2 linked regions of the Lytechinus pictus genome follow. The protein of the gene in region 1 purifies or fractionates together with the protein of each later gene. This does not show direct contact. Links are inferred from orthologs where the notes say so. Each region holds a gene or a part of one and is shown on either strand. Other genes may lie near its edges.

What was found. The genes of interacting proteins can lie anywhere in the genome.
Region 2: the proteins of mortality factor 4-like protein 1 (region 1) and late histone H2B.L3 purify together in Homo sapiens (affinity purification with mass spectrometry, with the first as the bait; 3 studies listed by BioGRID). This does not show direct contact. The link is inferred for Lytechinus pictus from reciprocal best matches to the Homo sapiens genes MORF4L1 and H2BC21.

Annotation. Positions count from the first base shown.
Region 1 is NC_087249.1:20,518,459-20,525,387, forward strand, and holds the start of mortality factor 4-like protein 1, read left to right. Parts: upstream 1-3,889; 5' UTR 3,890-3,949; coding exon 3,950-3,980; intron 3,981-6,929. UniProt on the Homo sapiens protein: Component of the NuA4 histone acetyltransferase (HAT) complex which is involved in transcriptional activation of select genes principally by acetylation of nucleosomal histones H4 and H2A.
Region 2 is NC_087254.1:16,320,926-16,328,168, reverse strand, and holds the start of late histone H2B.L3, read left to right. Parts: upstream 1-4,243; 5' UTR 4,244-4,287; coding exon 4,288-4,655; intron 4,656-7,243. Other genes in the region: histone H4, read left to right, coding at 344-655. UniProt on the Homo sapiens protein: Core component of nucleosome. Nucleosomes wrap and compact DNA into chromatin, limiting DNA accessibility to the cellular machineries which require DNA as a template.

The sequences.
Region 1 (6,929 bases):
GAGCCCCCCCCCCCCCCCCCCAATTTTTTTTTGCTCATTACGCCACTGGGACAACCCCTTCAGAGAAACAAACAAAAATCAACTTTGAGCGGACGATCGCGGAAAATATGGGTGAAAAAAATTCGGCCCCCCCCCCTATTGGCGGAAGCTGGATCCGCCCCTGTACATGTACATGCCACAATCAAGTTATCGACCTATTTACTTAAATATAATACCCTGACGTTATTGAAATAGTTGATTGACCTCTAACCCCTAAATATATTTTTCATGGCCATTATTTATCCTTATATTTCAGAGTGAAATTATTGAACTTCCAGGTTTTCATTACAAATAGCCACCTTTCGTTCTATTTTTTACAAATAAAATGTGAATATAATGGATTAATTTCTTTTTTGGGGGAATCATGCATGGATATGTTATACAGATATTGCCTACCTAGAGTTTGAATATAACATTTCCTCTCCCCGACGGAGTTATATTTTTCCAAAGGGATTATATTTTGCCCGAAGCGCGCAGCGCTGAGGGAAAATATTCTCCCGAGGGAAAAATATAGCTTCGGAGGGGAGTTGAAATGTTATTTATTAAAACGATAGTCCAGGCAATATCTGTCATATTATATAGTCTATATGGATCAGAGATTAATTGCCTTCATCATCTGGCCCCAACCCGAAATTCTTGCTACAGCTCTGATCCGTCTACGTCATAATAGAAAAAAATTGGAAAATACATCAAGCGCGTTCTTCATGCAATCGACGCATTAAAGGGATGGTCCGGGCTGAAAGTATTTATAGCTTAATAAAAAGAGTAGAATTCACTGAGCAAAATGCTGAAAATTTCATCAAAATCGGATAACAAATAACAAAGTTATTGAATTTTAAAGTTTAGCAATATTTTGTGAAAATAGTCGTCATGAATATTCATTAGGTGGACTGATGATGTCACATTCCCACTTGTTCTTTTGTATTTTATTATATGAAATTAGGTTTATTCAAATTTTTTCCTCCAAGAACTAGAAAAATTGGATTGACAAATGATTTAGTGCATTAGATATTTATTGCTGCAACTTATTTCATTATAAGGGAGACATTATTATTCACACAAGTATGAAATAATGAAAAAAATATGATGTTATGTAATAACATAAGAAAGCGGAAAGTGGAGATGTGACATCATCATCCCACCTAATGAATATTCATGACTACTGATTTCACAGAATATTGCTAAACTTTAAACTTCAATAACTTTATTATTTGTTATCCGATTTTGATGAAATTTTCGGCATTTTGCTCAGTGAATTCTACTCTATGTATTATAAATAAATAATATAAATATTTTCAGCGCGGACCATCCCTTTAACACTAGCGCGTACATCAAATAAACTACATGATAACGCAACTTGTAAGCAGCGAGTGACGTCACCTTAGTGAATATAACGCCGCAATTGAAAATACAACGCAGTTATATTCACTGAGGTGACGTCAAAACCTCGAATATACCAAATGCGATCCTCGCAGCTATGATCACGTGATGGCGTATTGACCTATCACTGATTCGAACCTACATAAGCTATGTAATATAGATATTTATTAACTTTTGACCTTTGACTTTGGATATCAGAAGTGAATGATTATTCTTTATGATTATTTTTTGCCTTTTTATATATTCTTGCAAAATTGCTTTTGGCACCAAAATCACCAACATGCAGTGTTTTATCTCAGATATATCATTATACGATATATATCCTATGTAAAAAGGTCATTGACCTTTTGACCTTGAACTTTATGGATTAATATGCATTCTAGGTGATTAACTTTATCTTATTTGTCCTTCCTGTAATAAGCTGTGCATTTTGACACGACGATCACCAACCTAGCTGCCCGGGGGGGCACTCAGTATATAATGCATAGTGGGTATGTGCCGCGGAGGGGACCCCCATTACACTCAAATTTCCGTTCCGAGGCACAGCATTTTTGTCTTATTGAGAAAAAGAACAAAGAAAGCCGCTCCAGAGCATAGCATTTTCTTCTTCTCGAGAAAAAAGAAGAAAAAAATCCGCTCCAGGGCTTCGCGTATTTTCCGTTACGCCGTTCCGGTCGCAATTTTGGTGAAAAGCGGCCGCAGCTCGCTGTCCGTCGTGCCGCCGGATTAGCTCCATGTACGTTCCATAGGGATGCATACGCACTCGCACGCAGGCGACCCGTTCCAAGGACCCCCGTTTTCACAAACATTTGTAGTTCCGAAGCTCGTTCCGAGGACCCTCCTTTTTACAATGAGCCCGCTCCAAGGCCCCCGTTTTTTGTCTCGCCCGCGGCACACCCCTTCCACTTTTTTGGTCGAGTGCCCCCCCCCCGGGCCTAGCTGTGCCGTTCAATCTCAAAGATACTATTATACAGTAGCCTATGATACGTAATGTAAAAAAGGGTAATTGACCTTTGAAAGGCTTTGACCTTGAATGCTATTGTTTAATGTGCATTCTAGGTACACTATTTTATTTTATTTGATCTTCCTGTTAGAACCTCTGCATTTTGACGCCAATTAAGATCACCAACCTGCACCTTTTCATCTCAGAGTACCGTATGGTATAATGTATATAATAAAGGTCATTGACCTTTGAAAGGCTTTGACCTTGAATTTCATGGGTGAATGAGCATTTTAGGTGCTTAATTTGATTTTATTTGATCTTCTTTTAAGAATCTAGCTGTGCATTTTGACACCATGATCACCAACCTGTAATATTTTATCTGGGAGCTACCATTATACAGTATATTTGAAAAGGTCATTGACCTTTGACCTTGAAAAATCCCACAGACTTTCCCCAACCCGTATTCCTCCTAACTTTTTTGGTAAATGTTGACATCACCCATATACCTACTCAAATCAGTCCAAAAACCATTTCCAATAATTTCATTCCAGATGGTTACTAATATAATTGCGGGATACTAATGGTGCTGAAGTAAATTAAGTCAAAAAGGGGGGGTCAGTTACAAAATGAAGGTCGTTTTGGTTCAAAGAAGTCTGACAAGCAAAAAAAATAAAAAGGTTAGTTTCAACACGAAATTTTACATATATTTATCTAATTGACACACCTATACCAGAATTCAGGGGGTGCTGCCTATGAATAATAATACACGCAGCATATCCCCTGGGAAAATATGGGGGCAGCACCCCCGCTTCCTAGGTCCCGTGGGGAAAGAAGCTTCCTCTCAAGAAGGCTCCAAATCAAAGCAGTGGCAAAAATAGTCATTTTTTGACTGGTTGCCAACACGTACACCACAAGACAGAAGAAGAGGGCCCTAAGTTCTGCTCGGAGTCAGTCAATAGAATAAACTCAAGATGAAATAAACTCCGTAAGTCGTTATAACGAAAGAAATTTCACGAATTTTCGCCCATAGGGCTTTGTCAAGTTAGGATCAAGATTTGAAATTGCGTCATGATAAAAACAGTATGCGCGTACGTAGCTATAGCTAGTGAGAGAGAGAGAGGGGGGGGGGAGGAGGGGAGAGGAGGAAAGAATATATATAGGCCTATTATAATTATTATTATTATTATTATTATTGTTAGCATTATTATCATTATTATTAGTAGTAGTAGCAGTAGTATTATTGTTATTATTATTATTGTTATCATCATTAATATTATTATTGTTATTATTATTATTCATTATAGGCTATTTTTTTGAAGTCCCATAATAAGAAATCAGAGATTATATTATTTGACCGAGCCACATGATGATTGATAAGTAGTATATGACATAGAGATATATTACTTGTTGTAAACGGACCCCCCCCCCCCCCCCTCCACCTCCAAAAAAATTGTTTTCCTTCACGATTACCTGCACATACACGCAGCGAGCTAGCGCTCGCGGCCCGCGGCCCAGCTAGGCAGCTATCGCTAAAAATAGCGCAGCGTAGCGTCAAGGTAAAAGGTCAATTGATGTCAAAGACCGACCATGGCACCTGTCAAGACAAAGTTTTCGGAAGGTAAATGCTATGTTTTATGTGAATATTTCATTTTTATTTTTATCCTGCATGTATTATGCGGAGAGATACGTTAATTTGTATTTTGTAATACTTTTGTAATCTCTTTCTTACTCCGATATTTCAAGAATTGTTGAAAGATCGCACGTGAAATCCGTGAAATGCAAGCTTTGTTGGAATACGGTCCCACATGTGCATTCTCTCGTAGGCCTAGTAGTCGCTATAGTAATATAGTAATTAGTATAGTCACGTATTGTATTACCGGACACTATTCACTCTAGGCGACACCCCAATACTTACCCGTGCTAATAAACTGGGACTCCACTCACGCGCGTTTGGGCCTCCCTAGCTTAGAACTAAGCACTAATATCACCTTAAAAACTAAATCTACAAGGTATGTATAATCTATTTACAAATTTAATAATGTTTAATCGGTACTCACCGGTTCTTTTGTTGCATTTTCAGACCATTTCTCACAATTCTTCGTAAATATTTGCGGCAAATTTTGTCGCCATAGACAGCTTAGCGTCCATCTTTATTGATAAATGGAGCGCCCTTTACGATAGTTGTTAATGCCGCGGAGAAATCGTTAGGCATTTTGGCCTGTGTTCAAGGCGTTCTTTCTGTTTTATTTTTTATATTGAAGATTGTGCATTTGTTGAATAGCGCCGTCTACGTCAGGTATGAGATCGAGTGTATAAATACACTCTTCCAAAATAATTATGATTCCGACCTGGCGCTGTTTAACTTCAATCTCTTTCACCTAAATTAGCGATGAATGCTAGCATTATAAAATATATATTATTAACGTCTGACGAAAAGAATAACCAACCGATCAGCTGACGAGAACGCGAATCACGTGATCTTCATATCAGCTTCGATCGCGAGTCAGAAGAGAAGAGCAGCTGCCCAGAAAATCAGGAAAAAGCCGTGAAAATGTAAGTTCCCCTTCATTTCTTTCATTTTTTGTTGTTGCTAACGATGCATTTACACTATAAAATTATAATTTAAATAAGAGAAAGGAATTATAGCTTGTACTTGTGATATAATGTTTAAATATCCTGTTCTCAGAGATTTCTAACCAAAAATACTACTGATGTCGCCTATGAGGTCCATACATGTAATGTTGGACCTCATTGGTACTAGGAGTGACACTATTATAATTCCGGACGCGCATATTACTGCGTTCGAAAACCATTTCGTACGGTAAGACTTCCGCAATTCAGTTTCACAGAGCAATACATAGAACAGGATTGCAAAAACAAGGCGAAAAAAATCCAACTTTTAACTTATTATCTCTAAAATGACAGAAAATGCTTAAAATATCAAATAACATAGTTTTGCATTAACAATTGATATATTTTCTAACGGAAATATGGGTCTGATCTGCCGAATTTCAATCTCGTCCGCTCCTTCGATCGAATGATGAGGTGTGGTGTAAAAAAATGGGTGATCGTCGATGGCTAGTTCTCAAGGTACCCGTGCGCGAGGTTTACCGTGACTTTGTGAGTATAGAGCCGTCGACGATCGGCAGCGCATCGATAGAACTTGATGAGCGTCACGATACGAACGAGCATAATATTGGAAAGTTCCATGAAACATGCATCTAACAAGAAAAAATAAAGTAAGTTATCAAACACGAATTTATTACCAACATCTGCTCAGAATCGATATAAGAACAGCAAACAAAAACTTAGAATTTACTCATGATATGATATAAGAAGAAAAAATCACACAAATTTGTTCTTACATCATTATAATCAAGAATATCTTTACCCGTCCGGCGCGCGTTCAGAATCATGATGTAATTTGTCACGCACAAACATTATTGTTTTTCGTGGAGGGGTATGCAGCAAGTGCGATGCAAAGAAACAGTTGGTAAATATCAAATAAATTTATATTCATAATTTTCGTAATTGGAATAGCAACTAGCAAGTGCGAATTTTTCTTGAATGTATTTCCTCTAATTGTCATTTTCAAAGCACTGAAATATAGGTGTAGCAGAGCTGCCAACCAGTACGTATTTAGTATGTTTTTTGCAATCAAAATAAGACTGGTCAGGACAGTACGTTTTTTCTTTTAAAAATATGATTTTCATAAAACTTACACAATGTAATTTCAGGTAACTTGGTTTTTTTTTTTCAATCATTTTGTTAAAACCAGGGTGAGATATACACGTGTTTCAATGTTGTTTTTTTCATCTGCAAGAGCAGTGTGCATTTAAGCTTGCATGCAGCTTGAGCGCCTCGATGAGCGTGCATGCCACGCATTTTATTGTGAGATACATTTTTTGGGGGGAAAATACTTTTTTTTTATCACAGAATACAATTTTTCATTTCCAGAGGTTCCAGAGGTCTGGTGAAGAGGTGTAAAGAATACACTACCATACCTAACACGGGGCTCCACCGGGCCGTGGGCACTCGTTCAATGAACAAGGTTATGATATAGCCTTGTTCTCGGTTATGTGGAGAAATAAGGTTGGCAATTTTGGGCTTATTATTATCTCTTGTTCTTAGGGACAAATGATTGATTTTTTCAAATTGTCATTTTCCATTGATCACAACCACTCAATGAACAAGGTTATGATATATTGGGGTCGGGACAAGTCGGACTGCGAGCCGAGTTGTCCCACCCCTTTTCTTTTTTTTCCCCCCAATTTGTGTCTATTTTTCAGTCATTTCAAAATTTCTTGTAACAATTTCTTGGAACAAGACCTTCTTTCCTTGTGACCTCTGGTTAACTTTGTGAAGATGTAGATCTAACCAGCGGTAGATATACCGAAGGGTAGTACATTCAAGACAAAGTATCTCTTCTGACCATGGAACTCCAAACAAAAACCTAGATATTTCCTATGTTTTTCAAAATTTCCACATGATGGTATGCTGATTTAAGATCATATGTGAAAATGTTATCCCCTCATTCAAATAACATCACTAGCAACCGAGGCATCTT
Region 2 (7,243 bases), on another chromosome or scaffold:
ATTTTACTAAATATTTAAAATTCAGAATTCAAATGATAAGAATGTTGGTATAAAACAATGCGAAACTGTCATTTGTACTGTGCGTTTACAACATTTTTGCTAATTCTAACATTTCGAGCATTATAACTCATGTATTTTAGTACTACATTGCTACTTCAAGATACCGTTGATACACGGATGCAAATAACATGTTTTAAAATATCGCCCTCTACGTTTGATGAACAGAGAGAGCTCATTGATCCAGAGAGCATTACTATTCCTTCGACGTCCGGAATAGGGGTATATATACTGGTCGAAATCCTACCACGTCAATTCGACTCGTCGATACTAAAGAAATCTAATCATGTCTGGACGTGGTAAAGGAGGTAAAGGACTCGGAAAGGGAGGCGCCAAGCGTCATCGCAAGGTCTTGCGTGATAACATCCAAGGAATCACCAAGCCAGCCATCCGTCGTCTTGCCCGCCGTGGTGGTGTCAAGCGTATCAGTGGTCTCATCTACGAAGAGACCCGTGGTGTCCTCAAGGTCTTCCTTGAGAATGTTATCCGTGATGCCGTCACCTACTGCGAGCACGCTAAGAGGAAGACCGTCACCGCCATGGACGTCGTCTACGCCCTGAAGAGGCAGGGACGTACCCTCTACGGATTCGGAGGTTAAGAAGTTCATCTCTTCAAACCCATCAACAAAACCGGCTCTTTTCAGAGCCACCAAATATTCAAGAAAGAAACAATTTGAATGTCTCTTTATGTGTTATAATTATGTACGGGCCCTAGTGAGAGGGTTGGGAAGAAATTAAATTAATGAACACACCACAGCTAAGGCTTCCATTTGGTTCCAATAAGGCAATATTGTCTTTAATCAGACTTTACTATAGTCTATAGTTTAGATCATATCCGTAGGGTATTTTTTTTTAATCCTAAAGTAAACTTCCCTGTAGTCGCTCACTAGAATTCCAATGAGATTGGATGTTTAAAAAAAATTCTTAATTCCCAAGAACAAAAACGGTTACCGTTCCAATATTTTAGCAGTGAAGCGCAATAAAACAATAGTTATAGACCCACACGGCCAATATACATAGGTCCATTGTCAGACCTGTAATCTTGACGCCCGAAAGACGCAGACGTGACTTGGATTACAGGCACACGCGACGATTCCCAGTTGAATTTCAGAGAGAAAGAAGAAAAACGGTGATAAACCTATTACAAAAACCATGGACCTATTACGCAATAGGTCCATGCAAAAACCTACACTTCTCATGCAAATGGTCGCATGTCATAAGGTGGTCCAATTTCGCGAACGGTAAAATTGGTCCAAAAAAATGATATGTTATAGGTATTACCATTCTGTAAATAATGACAAAGTTTTAAAGGTCAAGTCCACCCCAGGAAAATGCTGACTTGAATAAAAAGAGAAAAATCAAACTAGCATAGTGCTGAAAATTTCATCAAAATCGGATGTAAAATTAGAAAGTTATGACATTTTAAAGTTTCACTTATTTTTCACAAAACAGTGATATGCACAAATAGGTGAGTCAGTCGATGATGTCCATCACTCACTTTTTCTTTTGTTTTTTATTGTTTGAATTATACAATATTTAATTTGTTATAGATTTGACAATAAGGACCAACTTGACTGAACCATATAGTATTAAACAATGCTAATTTCACCTGTTCAGGGAGGAATTAATCGTTGTATCACTTGACAATGAGGAGAAAATTAGAATATTTCATATTTCGTGTAATAAAATACAAAAGAAATAGTGAGTGGATGACGTCATAGTCTCCTCATTTGCATACCAGCCAGGATGTGCATATAACTGTTTTGTGAAATTAAGCGAAACTTTAAAATGTCATAACTTTCTTATTTTACATCCGATTTTGATGAAATTTTCAGTGTTATGCTTGTTGGATTTTTCTCTTTTTATTCAAATCAACTTTTTGTTGGGGTGGACTTGTCCTTTAAGTCTCAAATACCTTATTTTTTCCTTAAAATGACTAATCAGCTAATTACTACATAGAAGTCGATGTAAATATGAATTTTGAAATGGATTTTTCTCAAATTGGACCTGCTGCACATAAAATGGTGTCAAAAGTTACTGCAACATTGGATCACCCTATAATATTTTGCACTTTTAATCTTGAAACATTAATAATTAAATCTGTAACAAAAAAAATCAAATAATTATCTGTTATTATATGCATATTAAGTACACTAATTAATTAACAATATTTAATTTAACATTTTTGCCCCAATGTATATGCTTGGAAAAATGACTACATCATTGGTATAAATGTTTGTTGCAATGATATTACACAACGTTTGTACTAAAAATTAAGTTTACAAATTAGATAATCAACCAAATATCTCCAGTTTACTAATGATTAGGTTGCAGATCAGAGCTGACATACACATGTATTTCATTCCTTCATATTTTCAAAATTGTCAATTTTATATAACATTTAGTTGTTCCCTGATTTTAAAATGCCTAGAAACATATTACATAATTATTATATCAAGTTGTTATTTAATTAACATTCCATCATTCACCGCATCCACCGGCTCCGCCACCCCTGTTACTTCAAACTTTACGTGCTATATAGTTTTTGTTTCTGATATTGTACTGATCTAATTAATAGTAATATGTTTAGCCTATAGTTCTAGCTTCAAAATAAGATCTTATACTCAATAAATTTGGTCAAGATCTGATGTAGTAACAATTTATCCAAGGCAACGTGGGGAAAATTGTTCATCCGCCACACTTGGCTTTTTGCATACCCAACTTATGAAATGCGACCAAATATCGGGCCAAATATACTAACTGGGGTTGGTGAAAACATATAACATGTATAAAGGCCAGTTTATTCCTTTGCCATTAACTGCAAATTTGCCTTTTAATAAAATCGAAAAACAGCATGATAATTTTGTTCAAAGCTAAATTTTCACTTCGGCGCCATTTTAACGCTACAGGAGTGCAAAATTCTCCTACTTCATAGATTCGGCGATGTTTTGTACGCACGCGGCCATGAATCTTATACGTAAACTATATGCATAGCCCATTTTGACTCCAAATATCAATCATTAATTTTTGACATGTTTGGGCTATATAAAAAAAAATCTCCCGAGTGAGCATGTTACGTGTATAAAATCTGAAATTTGCCATGCAGTATGTGACCCATCTCTCGATCGGGACTTTTGTCTGACATACAACCCAGTTTTTATCACTACCAAAAATATTGATAATGATGAAATTAGTGACGATTTCATGACCTTGATACAATTAAGATACTGTTTTTTAGTTTTGATCAAGGTTTATAGACTTAATTATTGGCCAAAATATATGAATTCTAGTTTCTTTGGTCCTGCCAAAAATTGTTGGTAAATCTAGCTGATCGACCAATGTAATAAGGCCATTATAGCATACAACATTATGAATCTAATTAAGAATTTTGGTTTCAAGAATCCCAGGGTTTCAAGTAGTGTCTTCTTTGGTGTACCTCCAAATCCAGTTGACGAAATCTTCCAAAACCTAGACGAATTTAAAATGTTCTTATCTGATCACATGATTGAAAATGAAATTTCTCAAAATATATAGCTCGATCTTTCCAATATGACTTCAGTCAATTAAACATTTATTCAAAGTGAACATGTATTATAGGCCTATAGTATTGGTAATAGTAGCCCTTCCGATACATGATTGTGGACAAGACCGTCGAGAAGTAAAAAAGACAAAAACAACATGAAACTTGTGTTGTGATACTTAAATTTAAAACATAAGCCCATACATAAATAAAAAATGAAGTTTTAAAAAACAGTCATGTCGACAAAAGTTTTAAGAAATAGAAGATATCACAAATACACAATAACTGCAGAACCCTGCATGTGTGCTTCGATAAATTTGATATATGACTTGATAAAATCATTTCGTTTGACATTTCATAAATGAAATAACTTCAATGCATTTAAAAAGAATATGCATAGCGTTTAATATTTCACACATTATATACCACTCTACCTTTTTTTATCATGGAGCTATATGTTTTTTATACACCACTCAACAACCGAACAAAGGGTAAAACCGTTGGGTATCCCCGCCACCTCTATTTGCATACGTAATTGAACAGCGCTTGCGCACTACACAGCTCTGGGTCACTCGCTGGTCTTGATTGGCGAACGCTAGAGCGCACACGGTCCTAATTTACATACGCACCCGGTGCTTTCGGACCCAGCGTTTGATATAAATACTCGTCGCATTCAGTTGATTGTCAGTATTCGTAAGAATCTTAATCGTCATGCCTGCCAAAGCTCAGACCGCTGGAAAGAAGGGATCGAAGAAGGCTAAGGCCCCCAGGCCTAGCGGAGACAAGAAGAGGAGGAGGAAGCGAAAGGAAAGCTACGGAATCTACATCTACAAAGTTCTGAAGCAGGTTCACCCCGACACTGGTATCTCAAGCCGTGCCATGTCCATCATGAACAGCTTCGTCAACGATGTCTTCGAGCGCATCGCCGGTGAGGCATCCCGTCTTGCCCACTACAACAAGAAGTCCACCATCAGCAGCCGTGAGGTTCAGACCGCTGTCCGTCTCCTCCTCCCCGGTGAATTGGCCAAACACGCCGTCTCTGAGGGCACCAAGGCCGTCACCAAGTACACCACATCCAAGTAAATTTGGTTTGCGCCTTATTTACCAAACGGCTCTTATCAGAGCCACCAAATCTCCAAGAAAGAATCATTTTGATTAATCTCTCGCATAACTTTTTTTATCTCGCTTACAGAAACTTTGAAATAAGTCATGACAAAGCAAGATCCTTAGATTAACTTTATTTGCAATTGAATTATTTGCTAAAGCTTAATCATGTTCATTTGCTGCATTTTTTTTACTCGGTTTCGTATTTTGTCACTCATTAAAATTCGGAACACTTCGGTGACCGAGAAGTCTGGGAAAAGGTAACAATATAATTGTGTATTTCAAATTTCGAACCTAATTAAACTAAGTATAAAAAATGGGAACGTTATTAATTAAAATGAAGTCTTAATGTATGTAGTTTATTTTCTGAATCGATATAATATAGCCTTATAGGGAAGAAACCATACCTCCAAAAAAGAATTATTTTGATTTAAAGCTCTCACCTAACTTTTTATTAAATCTTGTTTACAGAAACTTTGAAACAGTTTAAATTAATTATTAATTAAAGTCATGACAAAGCGAGACCCGTAGAACTTTTTTCATTTGCTGCAGTCTTTTTTGGCTCAGTTCCGTATTTTGTCACTCAGTAAAAATCGGAACATTTCGGAATCGGTGACCGACAAGATAATGGGAAAAAGTAACAAAAATTGTGTATTTCAAATTTCGAATCTAATTAAACTAAGTATCGTGGGAACGTTAATTGGAATGAAGTCTAATGTAGTTTATTTTCTGAACCGATATAATATTACCAAATTGATTAAATAAAACAAGTCTGAGCTATTTCAGAGATACTCCTTCATTGCGTTTAATATAATAATTTTGTGTGGGGATTGATAACACATAATATATGGGTGGGTATAAGGGGCGTTCTGCGAACAACGGGAAAATTACTGTGTTCGCCGCACGCGCATATAGACTCGTGATCGTCACAGATTGAAAAGGGCGTGCGGATCTGATCATAGTGAGGACATTGAAGATTTCTCCATAGAAAGACCGGGCATGAACTGTTAAAATGTGAATATTAACAAGCACAATAATTAATGTACCAAACTATCAATTAAAAGGGTGCATGTACCCGGGGCCCCCGCGGTACCCAAATGATATGTTACGACGATCGGGGCCGGCTGTTCAAGGATGAAAATGCAATGTAAACATAATGCATGGCAATAATTAGGCAGTCATGCTTAATTTTACGTTCCCTGTAATAAAGTGAAATATCACGCACAATTCACAATCTTTAATTCTATGGGGCATCTATGGAAATAATTTAATTCCGTGCACGTGGTACTCTTGGAAATAAAAGAAAGTTTCGTATTTTGCAAAAAAAACTAACGTAAGAGGGGGATATTGTAGTTTCCAGACCGGGTTCCAGACAAAAGCATCTCATCAACACATTGATCTGTATCCAGATTTGAAATTGAACAAGGCATTTACCATACATTTTCAGGGGCAAATAGTGCAAAAATTAATAGTGAAGAAAAAAAAAACAGATGAGAAAAAGAATATATAAAAAACAATGAAAACGGAAGAAATAGAAGAAAGAGAAGAAGAAGAGGAGCATGCAGGGGGGGGGGGAGAAGAAGAACAACGAGGAGGAGCTAGCTCGGGGAGGAGTGATGGAGGAGGAAGGATTTTAGGAAGGAAGGAAGGAGGAAGAAAGGAAGGGAGAGGGAGAAGGAGGAGTAGGAAGAGGAGAAGAAGACGGATGGTTGGAAGGAGGGGGAGGAGGATCGAGGATGAGAAGAAGAAGGAAAAAAAAGAACACCAACAACCCCAACATACTGTATGTCATCTTAGCCCCAGTATCAAAAGACGGCGCCGCTCCTGTATATACTTATATTAAATAAAAATAGATTAGTTACTGATTCATTGAAAAGAAATACTATTACTATGTATGATTTTGTATGGCCTGTATACTCTAAATAAAATAAAAAATAGATCCAACCGAATATTAGTTTTTCGTATTCAACCGTCCGGATTGAATAAAGCTAAAATATTTGAACAGTTTTTAGATTTAAGAGTTAATCCTGATCACTTTTAATAGATAGTTTTGAGATTTAAAAGTTAATTCGTTTGGTCACTATTTACAGCCGATATGAATTAATTTTAATCCTTGAAATGTATACAGTGTATTGTATTCTCAATCATTTTCTGATATTTAGAAGATGAGAAATTATATTTGTCGTTGAGTAGTTTTGGAATAATTAAAAAGAGTTCAAGTTCTTCCACGTTTTCGATAGTTAATTGTGAAGTCAGGTGATAAAATATTACATTCAATAAAGCTTCTTTTTTTTGGGGGGGGGGGGCGCTCGCCAGACATTGTGGTGTTGTTGTCTACATTCAACACAGGAGTGCATTTATTTTGTTGCGGGGTTCACAAATGTTTGATCACAACTGTTTATTATCTACCACACAAATAAAAAACACTTTCATTTTTAAAGATAGAAACTTGTTTTGTATTTATATACACAATATACGGAGGATTTGCATGCTTGTCTCTTATCATAAAATAGAAACTTCAATAATTCATAACTTTATACTTTGGTGGATTTTCATCAAACCT